Rattus norvegicus: one gene and its partners. The protein of the gene in region 3 interacts with the protein of the main gene of each other region in a pairwise test. Links are inferred from orthologs where the notes say so. Each region holds a gene or a part of one and is shown on either strand. Other genes may lie near its edges. The genes, in order: Epc1, Lmo2, Rint1 and Ribc1.

Region 1 (3,565 bases), on a different chromosome or scaffold from region 3:
TAAAGACAGCATTTAAAAAGGTCTGATTGTCAAAAAAAATGATTAAGAAGAAAAGTTACATAATTATGAAAGGCTTTTTTCAGCTAACTTTTGCTAATGTCTACCTTTTAATGATGTTGGAGAAACAAAACAGCAAAGTTTGCAACTGGCACCGACATGCCTCTGTAAGTCACGCCAGCACACCATGTTACGTAAACTGAAATGAAATCTGGAGGTCTGTCCTGGTCTATAGTGTTCCACTTTAGGAGTGACAGGATGTGGTTGATAGAACATGGCTACTTTCTCCATAAAAATCTCAAAAAAACCCTCATATATCTCCAAAAATATTTGGGGGGAACCGATTAGGAGTCTCCACTTTTGAATTCCCCACACCCGTGCATAGCTAACTAAGGCTCCAATCAGCCAGCTTGTCAGCCTGGCTTGCAGGACAGAAAAACGGTTAGTAAAACTAGTGGAATTACAATCACTAAAGTCCCAGAAACTACAGATTTTTTTGACAACTGATTGTCAAGTTTGGTCAGATCACAGAACTACTTTTATTTGTAACTAACAAGTAAATTAGTTTATGGAGCATTTCCTCTGAAGATGTCAGCAAATTCTTATGTGTAGAAAACACTTTAATTGTAACTTAAGGTAATTAGGGAAACAATCCTCTTCTTAATCTGTATTAAAATCATCCTAAAAGAACTTTAATGAAATGATTTAAAAACATTTCAAGCATAAGCCAGACATGGTGGTACATGTATGTCTTTAGTCTCTGCACTCGGGAGGTCGAGCAGGCAGATCTCCACGAGTACAAGGCCAGCCTGGCCTACAAAGTGGCCAGGACAGCCAGAACTACAGTGAAACCCTGTTTCAGAATAATCACCAAAACAACTACCACCAACAAAAAAATCTCAAAAATATCTCTTCACTTATTGTATGTATTGACTGTGTACATGCACACAGGCCACAGCACACGCACTGAGGCCAGAAACAGACTGAAGGAGTGGGATCCTTCCCTTCTACTGTGTGGGTCTGGGGACTGAGCACAGGCTGTGAGGCTGAGCCATGTTGACAGTGAGCTTTTATAATTTATACAACTCAGATAATGTGGACTACCTAAGTGTTCTAAAAAAGAAAGTCACGGGACATTGCATTGTTCCCAGTGTTTTATTCACACTATACAACAAAGTAGGGATTATCTTTAAAATATCTACAAACTATTAGAAGTCAGCTTCTCTGGTATTTATTCTGAACGACTGCCAATGTAAGTTTATGTCTAACTACTGACTAGTGGCCTCTAAATTTAAACAGATCACAGTAGATGATGTTCAAGTACATACCAATAACAACTTGGGGTCCCTTTTATTTTATTACTTGAAAATTAATGAATCTTGTGGTTCATGGGCTACCTCAAGATAACAAGTTAAACATTAAATATATAGTGACAAACATACCACCTCTCTTTGGCTGTGGTTAAGGAAAGATGCACGTACACACAAACCCACACAGCAACAGCACTACTGAGCAGAACTCAAAGAAGTACGTGAGGACCTCACTACGGGAATAATATACCACATCCTCAACAAGATGGGAGACCCCACCCTTATAGCAATGGGTACCACAAAAGGACATACCACAGTGTGTCGAGCCACTGCTACTTCTGCTCTGTGTGGAGGCGCTGCACGTGTGGGCCCCAGGCTGCGCTGGTCCTGCTCGACTTATACTTCTGTGTAACTTTCTACTGGAGAGCTCACCACTGTCACTGTCAGGAAGGGATGGTGTCCGGGGCCTAAAGTGCCGCCATCTACATGATTTGATATCGACTAGTATCTGACTGAGGTCTTTAGAGGAAGGTCTGTCCGAGGTATTGGTTTCTGAGGTATTGGCAAACTGATTGACTGGAGAAGGTTGTGGTGAGGAAAGCATGTCCAGATCCAGGTGGTGAAACATACTGTCATAGTCTGAATGCGCTCTGTCCAGCAAGACCCTGCACAAGGAGCAGACACCAGAGATTACATCACAGACTTTCCTTTCTCTCCCGAACGCTTTCCCCCAAGCTGAGCAACAGTACACTGGACATTTAAAGTGAGCAAGTTCATCACTGCAGCGTTTGACTCTCACACTGTATGCGCACAGCACACGGAGCAGAGCACGGCGTGCACGCAGCAGCCACAGGACAATTCCCAAGAGTTGCTTTTCTCCTTCCACCAGGTGAGTCCTGGGGACAGAACTCAGGCTGTCACCTTGGTGGCAACCGCTTCTTCCCACTGAGTCATCTTGTTGGCTCTGGTTCTTTTAGCCTCAAAGCTCAATGTTGGACAAAGTTCTTTTTTTCAAATTGTCTTTCAACCAAAACTTTTCTGTGCTTTGCAGTTCCTTCTCTCCTCCACTCCATGTATGAAATATTCTATTTCAGACCCCAGAACCACATCCTGACAAACTGAGGCCATGAGCAGCAAAGTTAAGTGGTCACTGCAGTAGTTAACGTAAGGTTTTCCCCAGAACTCAGCGACTTTGGTTGTAGTCTCCTGAACCAATCCTGAGTGTGTACACACAAGTATACTTGTCCTTTCTTGGGATTCTACTCTGTGATAACTCAGGTGCTAAGAAGCTTGGGGAGATAAGAACCCACACGGGCCTGTAGGGACTACGCAGTGTAGTGTGTGAGGACGTTGGGAGTGCAAAGGGAACATGTAGACAGCTCTGCTAAGCATAGCAAGCTGGAGCTTCTAGACTCTGTTCACAAGAAGGGCCTCAGTTTAAACTCTGACTCCAATGTCTAAAAAGCATGCTGGTGCAAGGAAAGCAGAAGCGCGTTACCTTCCACCGCGCCCGACCCGTCTTCGTGCAAATCCAAGACACCTCTGGGGTACGGTGAGAGTAGTTAAGCAATATCTATATCGCACATCCCCCAGGCCTCCATCTTTAGGGCTAGTCCAGGGCCAGTTGCCAGTTTGGTCTAAATGAGGCTAAAAAAAAAATCCAAATTATTGTATTTTGTCAGTCTGTCTGCTGTTTGTTGTTTACAGAAAGTCTGACACTTACAGCATAGTACTGACAGCCTGCTTTCCTACGGAAAGCGAAAGGGCCATCAGGGTCATTCTCTTCCTCAGCTTCTGAAGAGCCAGACAAAACCTTGAAATAAAGCAACGAGAGGTCAAACATGCGGGTTCTATGTTCCTCTTCTGTGTGCAGAGAGCTGGTCTTCTGTTTACCTGTGACAGAGGCTCTTCATCTGAGCTGGGGAAGTCGTACTGGTTTAAGTCTTTAGCACTGAAGCCTGGCAGTGCAGCAGGACTTGGCTGCTGGGGTGCGGCAGCAGACGACGGTAAGACTTTGGGCTTCTTTTCATATTTGCGCTTCGGCCGAATAAGATCAGCCTTATCTTGCTGCAACACAGACACGAGTCGGTCACACAGCGAAAGCACACCCCACAACTGCAACCTCTTAACAGCTTGAGTTAATTATTACTTGGGGAGCCAAGTGCTTGAACTATTAAAAGAGGCTCAGGCAACCCTCTGGTGGCCCCCCTACCCTCAGAGGGTCAGTCTCAGTTTCCCCTAATAATCTACATTTGCTC
Region 2 (3,998 bases), on a different chromosome or scaffold from region 3:
AGGGCTGACCTGCATCTGGAGATGCGATGGTGAAGATCCAAGCTGGCTTCGAGCAAGCACTCGGTGAGGCCGCTGGCAAGAGAGTGAGATACAGGAGAACGAGACATGCCGGTCTGAGGACAGATATGGACAGGACCAGACTCTGACTCAGTTTACCTTTCTATAATTAATGACATGCCATTCTCTCTGGTGAACAATTCAAGCCAAAGACTGAATGAGATTTACCTTAAGTTAATATTTGATATCCTTCTACCAGCCTGTCCTAAATAGGACACCTGAGTGTCCCTTTAGCTTTGATTTCTGGTAAAATTTCTCAAAAATTTCCCAGACAGAGGGGAAATGTTCCACAGACATTTCCCACAGGGCTTGCCCATCTTCAGTTACAGCCTTCCTTTTCTGGGCACATTCTGTAGGACGGATGAACTACTAGAGGACCTCATGAACTGGGTGCTCACTATTACAGCTGTGAGATACCTTTCAGGTTTCTAGTCTGGGGCAAAAAAGACACAAACTTTAGTCAGAGTGAACTTCCTTTACAGAACCCAATCCTCAGGCTGGAGAGAAGGCTTGGCAGTTAAGGATGTTTTCTGTTCTCCCAAAGGACCCAGGAGTCTCCACAAGCAAAACAGGTGAGTGCTAGTATCTGTGACTCCTGTTCTAGGAGACTCATCACCTCTAGCCTCCAGAGCACCTGCGCTCAGGTGCACACACACATCCATGCAGTTAGTATTTTTTTTTAAGGTACCAAACTCTGTAGACTCAATGTCTAATATAGGATTCATAGTGAAATTGTGCTGATAGGAAAGCAGTAAACACCAGTTCGCCAGACCCACTCCCTTACTGTGTAATCTTATGTCTCGTCCAATCTCTGAAAACTCGGGGCTCAGATGTAATTTTAAATGTATTTTTAAAAGGGAACAAGCTACAGACACCGACTCTTTTTTTTAAAGGGTTGTTGTTTTTCCTGAGATTTTAAGGAAGCTGGTCTTTATGTCAACAAACCTAGCTCCTTTCTGAGCTGTGTGTCTTAACCTTCAAGACTGAAGAGTGATGTTTATATTCTCGTTGGATCGTGGGACTTCCTGTATTTTATGAGAACACGCTGGGTTTTTATGCTGCTGACTGAGGGTAAAGCCCAGGTAAATAAACACCACACAAGACTGAAATTGAAGGGGGGGAGGCGAGTAGGAAAACTTCAGCAGGAAAGCACAATTCTTTTAAAGCAGGAAAAGAAAAGGAGGAAAAAACCCCACCAAAACAAATGCGTCTTAAAAGCCCAAATGGACAAGTCATTAACCAGCTCCTTTGGTCTTGTGTTAACAAATCCCTTCAAAGGATTAGATGAGGACTTCAAAGGAATAAAAACTCAAAACCAGACAGCTAATGATTCTTAAAAGGGCATTTGTGTGGACATGAAAAAAAAAAACCCAACAAAAAACAAAACAAAAAAAACCCCCAACACCTTCATTCTTGGCTCCCCTTGTTAAATCTAGAGAATGGGCTAGGGTACAGGCTGTGGAATGGGGGTGTTCTTTGCAAACCAGCGCAAAGCTCAGAGCATAAGACAGTACATACTCATACAACTCTTGGTTCGCTGACCCCAAGCCCTTCTGAAAGTTTGATGAGATTCTGTTCCCTAGGAAAACACACTGGAACAAAAAAAAAAAAAAAAAAGAACCAACTTTCGAGGTTCACATGCCCACAATAGGAGACTCATGGGAGGGGTGAACATGCACCCGGAGGAACTCCGGATTAGCAATTCTAGAAGTCTCTGGAGGCCAGAACCAGTCCCCAGATGGACAGGCGGACCTCATCGACTATCTGCTCTACTCCGGGCCTGGCAGTAGACTGTCAGAGACACCAGGGACGTTCTGGTTGGGATGCCCCTCTTTCCAAAGCCAAATAGACAAAAAGGAAGGGAATCTGGAGAGGGTGGGACGAAAGGGGAGAAGGCAGAATCTCGTCCTCCACTTTCCCTGCCCTGCACCTGTGCCTCGGAGCTCCGGGTGCCTGCTCCTGGGCAAACTTTCTGGCCCTTGTGAAGGTTTGGGGAGCTTTCTAGATAGCCCGGAGCGGTCCGCGGGGTTGATCCCAGTTTACAGCTTCCTCCAGTTCCGCCCAGCCCCTCTCGGTGTCTCCAGAGTCACCCGCGAGGAAAGAGAACCCCTGCGACACCGAGGGACCAAGGGCATGCTGCGGGCGCGCACCTGAAGTCAGCCCCTCGCGCCTTGCCTGGGACCCGGTGTGGGGTGCGGGGAGAGAAGCGCCACACTTACTCAGACGGGTCCAGGCTCTTCCTTTCGATGGCCGAGGACATTGGGGAGGGGGGAGGCGTGCCGGGCGGCGGGGGCGCTCCCTTTGTGGCGCGTGGCTGGCTAGCTGCCTGGACTCGGACCCCCTCGGGTGCTCGGGCGCCGCCGCTCCTGCGCCTCCTCTTGCTCGGTCGCTCGGCCGGCGAGCTCGCCCCTCCACGCTCAAGGACAGTCACCGCGCTCCCTTCAAACGCCAAAGAGAGAGAGCGAATCACCCAGCTGCCCCGCGCGCGGCGGCCGAGGCAGGGGGCCGGGGAGCAGCCCGGCCTCCCTCCGGCGGCTGCGACAGCTGCCGCTGCTCAAGACTTAACCTTCCATCCCGGTCCCGCTGCCGTCACCACAGCCGCCGCCGCCGCCGCCCGGTCCCGATCGCGCGCAGTCGCCGGCTCCGCCCGGCCGCCCCGAACCCCTCGCACCTTCGCTGGGGTCGGGGCGCCGAGGGCAGAGAGGGGGCGGCGGCCTGGGGGCGGGGAGCGGACCGCGCGGCTCTCCCGGGGCTCCCTCCTCTCTCGCGAAGGTCTATTTTCGCTCAGCTTCCCTCTGTCTCTGGTTTCATTTCCTTTTTCCTGATCACGATTCAAATACAATAGAAGGAAATCACATTTAAAGAGACAGCTGCCCGCCCCCTCCCCCTTTTTTTCTTCCTTTAAAAAAAAAAAAACGGGGCTCCTGGGGATTAGGAATCCAAACAGCAGCGGCGGCAGCAGCAGCAGCGGCGACGGCGGCAGCCCCGACTTGGCTTCTTAAAGGGACCCGTGGCAGAGACCGAGAGTCTTCCCTGAGCACCACTCCTGGGGCAAGAAGCCCGCTGCCACTAAACCGTCCTTTTCAGAGTTCCCCTTCTGCCCTTTCCCTTTGGTTTCAGGCTGAAAGTAACCACCTGGCGGTTCCAGCAGGAAAGAAATGCAAGCGTTGCTAGTGGCTGGCTAGCGAGCGCTCGTCTCGGGTTCGAGGTCCCAAGACCACGGTCGTGGTGCTCTACGAAGCCTGAGACAGTGCGGCTCTGCTGGCAGCAAGCTCGTAGCTGCGACTGCGCTCCAGAGAGGGGACGCAAGCTGTATGACCAGGGACCTCACGCGCTAGGTGCGCCTGAGCAGAGCTGGGGGCAGCTAATCCCGCAGGGAGGGTGGCTGGGAGGGACCACGTTGTCCGGGTCTCCTCTCCATCTGCTGGCGGCAGAATTCCCTCCCTCAGCATCTTTCAAAGAGCGAACTCCAGCGGTTAGGCTGGCCCTCTCTGCAAAGTATCAGCAATACTTGGACCGGAGGAAGTTCCTTGCCAATAATCAAGAACCTTACAGTTGTTACTTACTATTATTTTGCCCTATATAAAGCAAAGAAAAGGACAGGTTTCTCCTTCAGGCTTGAAGGCAAGTTCTAGAAGGACAAAGAAATGCAGAAGGGAAAGAAGAGGACTCTAGCTAGCTAGTTTTGCAGGGAGAAAAACCTAGGTTCTCCCGGGCCTCGAGTTCCTTGAAACTGAGTTCAGAAATGATCGTTCAAGTCCCGTTAGCTTATGATGAGGACAGTCTTCAGGTTTGTGAAGAGGAAAATTCCGAGTGCCTTCAGAATCCATCGTTAGTAAGAACAGCCTGGATCAAGGACGTAGGCATTTCAGTCCCATTTTAAAGACGGCTTTAATAGCCTGAAGATGATTGTTGAAGTCAGAACAGAAATCCTGGGTTCC
Region 3 (3,565 bases):
TCCAAAACCTCACACACCAAAACCAGACATTCCCAGGCAGTGGTGGGACACACCCTTGATCCTAGCATTTGAGAGGCAAAGGCAGGTGGATCTCAATGAGTCTGAGGCCAACTTGGGCCAAAACAGAAAGCAAGCAAGCAAACAACAAAACAAACCAAAAGCCTCAAGTCAGCTCAACGGTCACTGAGTGCTTACACTTTCTCTCCACAGTCAGCCATCTCTGGAAACAGGTTTCCTCCGACAGAATGTGCATGCAGCTGGCAAATGTGCTAGGATAGCCATGGACACTGTGCAGCTCCCTTTCAAACAACAGCACCTCGTCTACCAGATGACAGAAGAGACTATCGTCATAGAGCAGGCAAGGGATATCAGACGCCAGCTTCTCAAGGATGAGCATCACGAGGCCGCGAGAAAACTCAAGCTGAAAGAGAGGCAAGGAGGCATGAGGGAGGGACTGTGCCCAGGGGGCCTCCAGGAAGCCGGAGTGCACGGGGCTCAGCCTCTTACCCTTGCGTTCACTGCAGAACCCACTTTATCCAGTATTGGCTGGATCTTCTCATCCAGAAAGTGAGAATGGCTTCCAATCCACAGAAGTACCTGAGCGAAGTACCATTCAGGCTAAGAGGAAGGGAAAATGGGGTTAGTTCTGCATTCACTCTACGATGACGGGAAAGTCTAATTAAATGCACACAGTTATGGACAGACATAAAAATTAACTGAAAACTCCTATATGTAAGAAAGCAATTCTTACCCTGCACTTCAAACTCACAAAAGACTTCATAATCAAATGTTTCCCAGTATACTTCCACAACAAATGCTAATAATGTGGCCTAACTCAGTAAACTCGTAATTTAAAATGCCACATTGGGGTTAGGTGTGGTTTTGAAGTATAACGTTTGCCTGGCTATAAAAAGCCTTGTTTGAATCCCAGCATCACAGAAAAGAGGAAGAGAAGGCTTAAGAACAATACTGAGGAAAAGTCCCTCACACACGCAAGAAGGAGCATCTGGGGGGCTGGGGATTTAGCTCAGTGGTAGAGGCTTGCCTAGGAAGTGAAAGGCCCTGGGTTCGGTCCCCAGCTCCGAAAAAAAGAGCCAAAAAAAAAAAAAAAGAGGAGCATCTGCCCAGCACACGCCCTCATCCCAGAGCAAGATAAAACAAGCCACACCAGCAGGATGGCCCCGGGGTAAAGGCGCCTGCCAGCAAACCTGCCAACCTGAGCTTGATCCCTGGAACCAACGTGGGGGAGGGAGAGCGCTAACTCCCACAGATGTTGCTCTGACCTACACACAAACTTTGTAAAGCCCTCTAAGCCTAGCGTGATGAGGTATTACTAACAACTGATATTTCTGAAATAGCATTCCAAAAAGAAGGTTCTGAGATAGATCTCACGTAGCCCAAGCTAGCCTCAAAAATCTCTATGTTACTGAGGGTGACGGGCTTCAGGTCTTGTCACCTCTACTTTCCCAGTGCCAGGATTTCACACATGACATCAATATGCGCATCACACGTGACGTATGTGGTACTGGGGACCAACATGGGGCTTCACGTGAGCGGGACAAACGCTCTGTTGAGACTGACCTGCTTCCCCAAACACTTTTTTTTTCTTTTCTTTTTTTGTTTGGAGCTGAGGACTGAACCCAGGGCCTTGTGCTTGCTAGGCAAGTGCTCTACACTGAGCTAAATCCCCAACTCCTCCCCACCCCCAACTACTTTTTAAACAAGACTTTCTGCTGCTTCCTCTTTCCAAAAGGTAAAGTAAGGAAAAGAGTCTAGTGGCCTAATTACTAATACATCTACGCTGTAAACTGGGTGTGATGTACAAAGGAAACAGGCAGAGCATTTCAAAGTATTACACTTTTCTCTGTGCATATATGCATGCTAGAATGGATGTGTCTGGGTGGGTGGACAAGTGTCACTGTGGCAATCAGATGACACCTTTGGGAGTTACTTTTCTCTTGTGACCACATGGGTCCTAGGGATCACACTCAAACTTGGAGGTGGTTTCCCCCACTGGGCCATGTCACTCACTCACCCCACATAAAGATTTTACTTTGTCTTTAGAGAGGATTCTGCACACATATAAGTTTTTCTAGACAACAACTTAAAACTCAGTGAACATGAACAGATGAACCGATGAGCTCCAGGTTCAGTAGAGACTTTGTCTCAAAATAAGGGAGAGAGTGACTGAAAAGGGTATCTGGCATTGACCTCTGGGTACACACACACATACACACGTGCATACACACGCACACCAGACACACCACACATACCACACACACACAAACACACCACACTTACATATACACACATAACACACACATATACATACACACCACACACATACAACACACACATATATACACACACATATACACACATACCACATACAACACACATACACAAACACATACCACACACACATATACACACAACACATACACACATACATACCATACACACCACACACACCACACACACAAAACACACACAACATATACACACACATTCACAACACACACAACACACACACATATACAGACACACATACCACACACATGTGCATGTGTGTTTCCTGTTTTTTATAGCTAGGGCTCTAACTAAGGGATAGAGCACTTGCCTTGAACAGGCAAGCCCTGGCTTCAGTCCCTAGCACTGACTGGCAAATCCCCAAGTGTTTTCAGTTGGGGATAAACAAGGGTGGCAGCATCTAATCCCAAGGACTGTCTCAGTGACAGTATACTAAATTCATTAGGATCACTCTTTCAAAATGAGCCAATCCAATCCAGAATTTTCTTACATTTTCTAAATGTTTAGTTTATGCTCTGTCTCATTGACTACTGAGGACTAAATGACTGTGCAGTCCCAACAACAGTCTAAACAAAACAGAAGACCCACTGCCACTAAGTTCACTCATATGACCTGAAAAATATCTGCTGTGGTCTTGCTCTTAATTCAGAACACTTGGTGAGCCCAGCTCCATACACTGCCTCGGCTGCAGCAACCATCAAGAACAAAGTGCTCTCTCAGATCAAGTGTTGGTAACGACTTCCTTTAACTGACTTATTCCGTCACTCCTTGCCATGGTATATGTCCTCCGTAGCTGAGTCACCATGGCACCTGTGCTCTCTCCTGTGGAACTCACTTCTTTCTTTCTGTTTATCTATGTGCAGGAGCGGTCTGTGCAGTGAGGTCCAGGTGGCTGTAAAGCCTGCACACACGAACACAACGTGATGACGTCCCAAAGACGGCACAGATACTGGCAACCTGTCAACCTGAGCCCCAGTCACGCCTACAGAGTGCAGCGAGGAGGCAGGAACCGACAGAGAAGGGAAAACAGAAACGTGAAGACAGACAGGCCTTGAGGCTAATCATGTAAAAGTCCACAGGCAACACTCACTACTAATGAACACTCAGGGTAGGATGGACACTGTGGGACCCCAGCCCTTGGGAGGCAGATGCAGAGGGAGCGGAGTCTGACTCAGCCGGGGCTCTCCTCAGACCCTGTCTCACAAACATAACCACGGAGGAGAGAGTGAAGCACACTCTGGCCAAGCACACCTTG
Region 4 (3,565 bases), on a different chromosome or scaffold from region 3:
TGCACCAGATCCCAAGGAGCTAGCAGCCATTGAGGCTAGAAGAAATCGTGAAAAGGAACGACAATGCCGATTCTTCAATGTGCGGAACCGAGTCATGGGGGTGAGTGGGTAATGGGTAACTTTACAAGACTGGGATTATTTGCTCCCTGTTCCTAGAATGGAATGTAGCAGTACATTTTAACTTTTCGGGACTCAAGCATGCCCTAGGACTGGAAAGGCAGGAGCTAGAGAACCAACCTCATATGCCTGGGCAGGGCTTAAGAAGAGAGGCAGAATTGTGAAGAGACAGATGATGGGGTGACAGCTGGCTCTCCTCTGGTCAGTTCTTGGACTATAGCTGGTTCTTGAGAAACAATGTGGAGCCATAAGAGGGTGTAAAGAAAATTCGATACTACATAAACCTAGGGTATTTCTGGAAGGCTAAATGTGACATTGTTATATTTGTTGCTTTTCTTTATTACTGTGGTAAAATACCTGACAAACAGAAGAAAGGGGGGTTTATTTTGGCTCAGTATGAGCATACAGTCTATTATTGGAGGAAAAGAAGAGGAGGTGGCTGGTCAATGTGCACCCACAGTTAGCAAGCAGAGTTGAGCTCTCTTTCTTCTTTTTATTCAGTCCAGGACTAGTCCTGGTATGGTACTGCCCTCAGTTAGGTTTTCCTACTTAAAAAGACATGTCCAGAGGTTTCTCTCCTAAATGATTCTGGATGCTGTCAAGCTGACAGTATTTTATGTAGCTTTTTATTTATTTAGGAGGGGCATGTGGGACCACAATGAATGCATATATGACTTCCTTCCACCATGTGGCTTTTTGGTACCAAACTTAATTGTCAGGCCTGAACTTTACCTATGGAACCAATTCACCAGACCATGTTGTCAATAGTAACCTTCACAGCTTTGAACCAAGCTGATGGATAGGGACTGAAAGGATGTTTATTCTTCACAAACTATCTGCCCTTCCATACTATTTTGAAACATTTTCAGTGAATTATAATGAAAAGGAAAATACTGATAGCTAAGAAACAAATAAACAGTTGCTGAGTGGGAAGGTAAAGAAAGGATCTAGGAAGGACACCATACTTGTGTTCAAAGCCAGGTCTGCTATTATATATGGATGGCTTATGGTACATAACCTATCTTGTCCTCCTCTGTAAAATGAGGCCAAATGAAGCATTGAGCTATCAACTTTGAAAAAAGTCAGAGCGTATTACCTGACCATGAGCAAACTGAAGTTTGAGTAGTCTGACTGAGATTCTGGTTGTAAGAATTTCCTTGGGACCTACCCTGGACCAAACACTACGTTGGACAGTGGGGAATACAATGATAGCTAAGGCCAGCTTCTCCTCACAGAACAGCTTACGGCCTAGTGGAGGAGATACTAGAAAGGCTAATGTCAATACAACATGGCTAGTGGGTCCTAGATTATGAGGGTAGAATCTTCCTGAGCAAGTCTTGGAGGGTAAACTGAAGTGTAGTAAAGAAGAAAGACTGTTCCAAAGGGGAGAAACAGTTGGAGCAAAGGCTGTGGGTTTGAAACAGCTTAGGATGTGCAGAGAACTAGAAGTACAGTTCCTTACACTACTGTGAGAGGAGAACAAAGCGATAAAGGCAGAGAAGCAGCAGCTAGACCACAGAGGTGTTTACAGGCTTCATTCAGGGCTTAGAACTTTATTTACTATGTCCTGAAGAGTTACAGGGTGACTCTGAAGAGGGTAATTCCCAAACAGCATCCTGTAGGGCATTCAATGTACGTTCGAAGATCCTCCTCTAACTTAGCTCCTTTCTTTGAGATGCAGGTGGATGTGGAAGCCCTCAACTACCAGGTGGAGGAACGAAAGTTTCGGGAGGCAATAGAGCGAAGCAAAGATATGGCTTATGGTAAATACTAGGGTGAAACAAAGGTATAAACCAGAAAGAGTGGCTTGAAGTTGGGAGATTCTGCCTCAGAATAGAGCCTGAGGCTCTGAGGGATGATAAAACAAAGCAAATGACCTTGGGAAGGGGCTTGGGAACAGAGGTTGACTGGGCTCTGTTCTGGCACCTTCATGTCTCTTTCAATCGCTCTCAGGTGCCAAGCATGCACACTATGATCTGGTAGCACAGATGCTAGAGAAAGAAGAGGCAGAACGAGCATGTCGGCTGTCCAAGAGAGTGCAGGATTTTCGGGAGCAAAGGCAGCAATTCAAGAATGGACACGAATTCGACTTCTGGGATCCAGACCATGTCCAGGAGTTTCAGGTCCCTTATTATGAGAACGAGGCATACTTTGGCCCAGCAAGCATGCAGTACTTCCTTGGAGAGGACCTGGAGAGGGCCTCACACCTGAGAATGCAGCAGGAACAGTTGAGATACAACCTGGAGAAACAGCTGCAGGAGCAACAGGCAGCCAGAGAAGAGGAAGCACGAGCAGGTAAGTAGCACAGCAGAGAGCTCATCCTGTTTGGGTAGAACACTGTGAGGAGGAACTTTACCCAGAGAGCTGGGGCAGAAAGGTTAGTCTGTGCATGCCCTAACTTCCCTGACTTCTTTCTTGGCACGTCTCTGAGGGAAGCATTTTACAGTTCTACTTACTTCCTGCTTCAGGCAAGTGAATGTTCCTTCTCTAGAATTGTTTTCCTCTCCTCATTTCATGAGACAGGGGCTTGCTATTTATATTTCACCTAGTCTGGGCTGGAACTCAGCAATCCCCCTTCCTCAGCCTCTCAAATACTGGGGTTTCAGGCACTTGCCACCTTGATAGCTCAGTTTCTTCATCTTTAAAATAGGGATTATAATATACATCACATAGAAAAGCAACTATTATTATGATACAGTCTGGCCACATCTCTCTTTTACACTAGGAGAAAACCTTTCCAGGGCAAGGGCCATGTCTTTCTACTCATTTCACCTTCCAGTGTCTCACCCGGCCTAAGAACAAAGAATCCAGTGTGTGGCTTGAAGGGGGAACAATTTAATAGCTTTGCTTATGCTGTGGCCATGACTGGCATGCCATTTTAATATGCTTCTCTACATCTTTATCATTGGCCTTCCCAGGTCATAGTTTGATTATCTATTGGATCTGTCTCTCCTACCAGAGAGGGAAGTTTGTTTGTTTTTTAAAGTGGGAGGTATTAGGACTTTGAACTTGCTATGTAACTAAGGATAACCTTGAAGTTCTGATCTTCCTGCCTCTGTGTTCCAAGAGCTGGAATTACAGGCATACAGCACCCTGGACTAGGCAGGGAGTTCTCTGAGACACGATCTAATTGTGTGGTATCCTTAGAACTCAACAAATAACCTTAAGACTGAGACTTAGTGAAATGACATTATTTAAGGCCACACCACTGAAAGGTGACAGAGCTTAGTTGTCATCCAAGTTGCTATGCTTTGCCCACCCTGACCCCAAAGAGTAGCTCCTTCCTTATCACTGCAGCTTTGACATGCAAATATAAACACACAGAGTATGCTGAAAAAATAATCAATATACGGATGCAGACTAGAATAGGCAAGTACAGTGCCCTGCCTGCATTTCTCTGTAGCTTTGCTCAGTGACCAACTGCGTCTAGCCGCGGACACTCGGGCTG

Evidence for each region.
Region 1: the proteins of Rint1 (region 3) and Epc1 interact in binary tests that used the Homo sapiens proteins (3 or more experiments, as listed by UniProt). The two-hybrid records come from large-scale screens. The link is inferred for Rattus norvegicus from reciprocal best matches to the Homo sapiens genes RINT1 and EPC1.
Region 2: the proteins of Rint1 (region 3) and Lmo2 interact in binary tests that used the Homo sapiens proteins (3 or more experiments, as listed by UniProt). The two-hybrid records come from large-scale screens. The link is inferred for Rattus norvegicus from reciprocal best matches to the Homo sapiens genes RINT1 and LMO2.
Region 4: the proteins of Rint1 (region 3) and Ribc1 interact in binary tests that used the Homo sapiens proteins (3 or more experiments, as listed by UniProt). The two-hybrid records come from large-scale screens. The link is inferred for Rattus norvegicus from reciprocal best matches to the Homo sapiens genes RINT1 and RIBC1.

What each region holds. Positions count from the first base shown.
Region 1 is NC_086035.1:59,209,491-59,213,055, forward strand, and holds part of Epc1 (enhancer of polycomb homolog 1), read right to left. Parts: intron 3,375-3,565; coding exon 3,201-3,374; intron 3,121-3,200; coding exon 3,031-3,120; intron 2,955-3,030; coding exon 2,806-2,954; intron 1,973-2,805; coding exon 1,620-1,972; intron 1-1,619. UniProt on the Homo sapiens protein: Component of the NuA4 histone acetyltransferase (HAT) complex, a multiprotein complex involved in transcriptional activation of select genes principally by acetylation of nucleosomal histones H4 and H2A.
Region 2 is NC_086021.1:110,820,306-110,824,303, reverse strand, and holds the start of Lmo2 (rhombotin-2), read right to left. Parts: upstream 2,852-3,998; 5' UTR 2,631-2,851; coding exon 2,624-2,630; intron 2,497-2,623; coding exon 2,277-2,496; intron 1-2,276. UniProt on the Homo sapiens protein: Acts with TAL1/SCL to regulate red blood cell development. Also acts with LDB1 to maintain erythroid precursors in an immature state.
Region 3 is NC_086022.1:12,227,570-12,231,134, forward strand, and holds part of Rint1 (RAD50-interacting protein 1), read right to left. Parts: coding exon 3,562-3,565; intron 619-3,561; coding exon 508-618; intron 422-507; coding exon 196-421; intron 1-195. UniProt on the Homo sapiens protein: Involved in regulation of membrane traffic between the Golgi and the endoplasmic reticulum (ER); the function is proposed to depend on its association in the NRZ complex which is believed to play a role in SNARE assembly at the ER.
Region 4 is NC_086039.1:24,572,434-24,575,998, reverse strand, and holds part of Ribc1 (RIB43A-like with coiled-coils protein 1), read left to right. Parts: coding exon 1-100; intron 101-1,798; coding exon 1,799-1,880; intron 1,881-2,070; coding exon 2,071-2,412; intron 2,413-3,520; coding exon 3,521-3,565.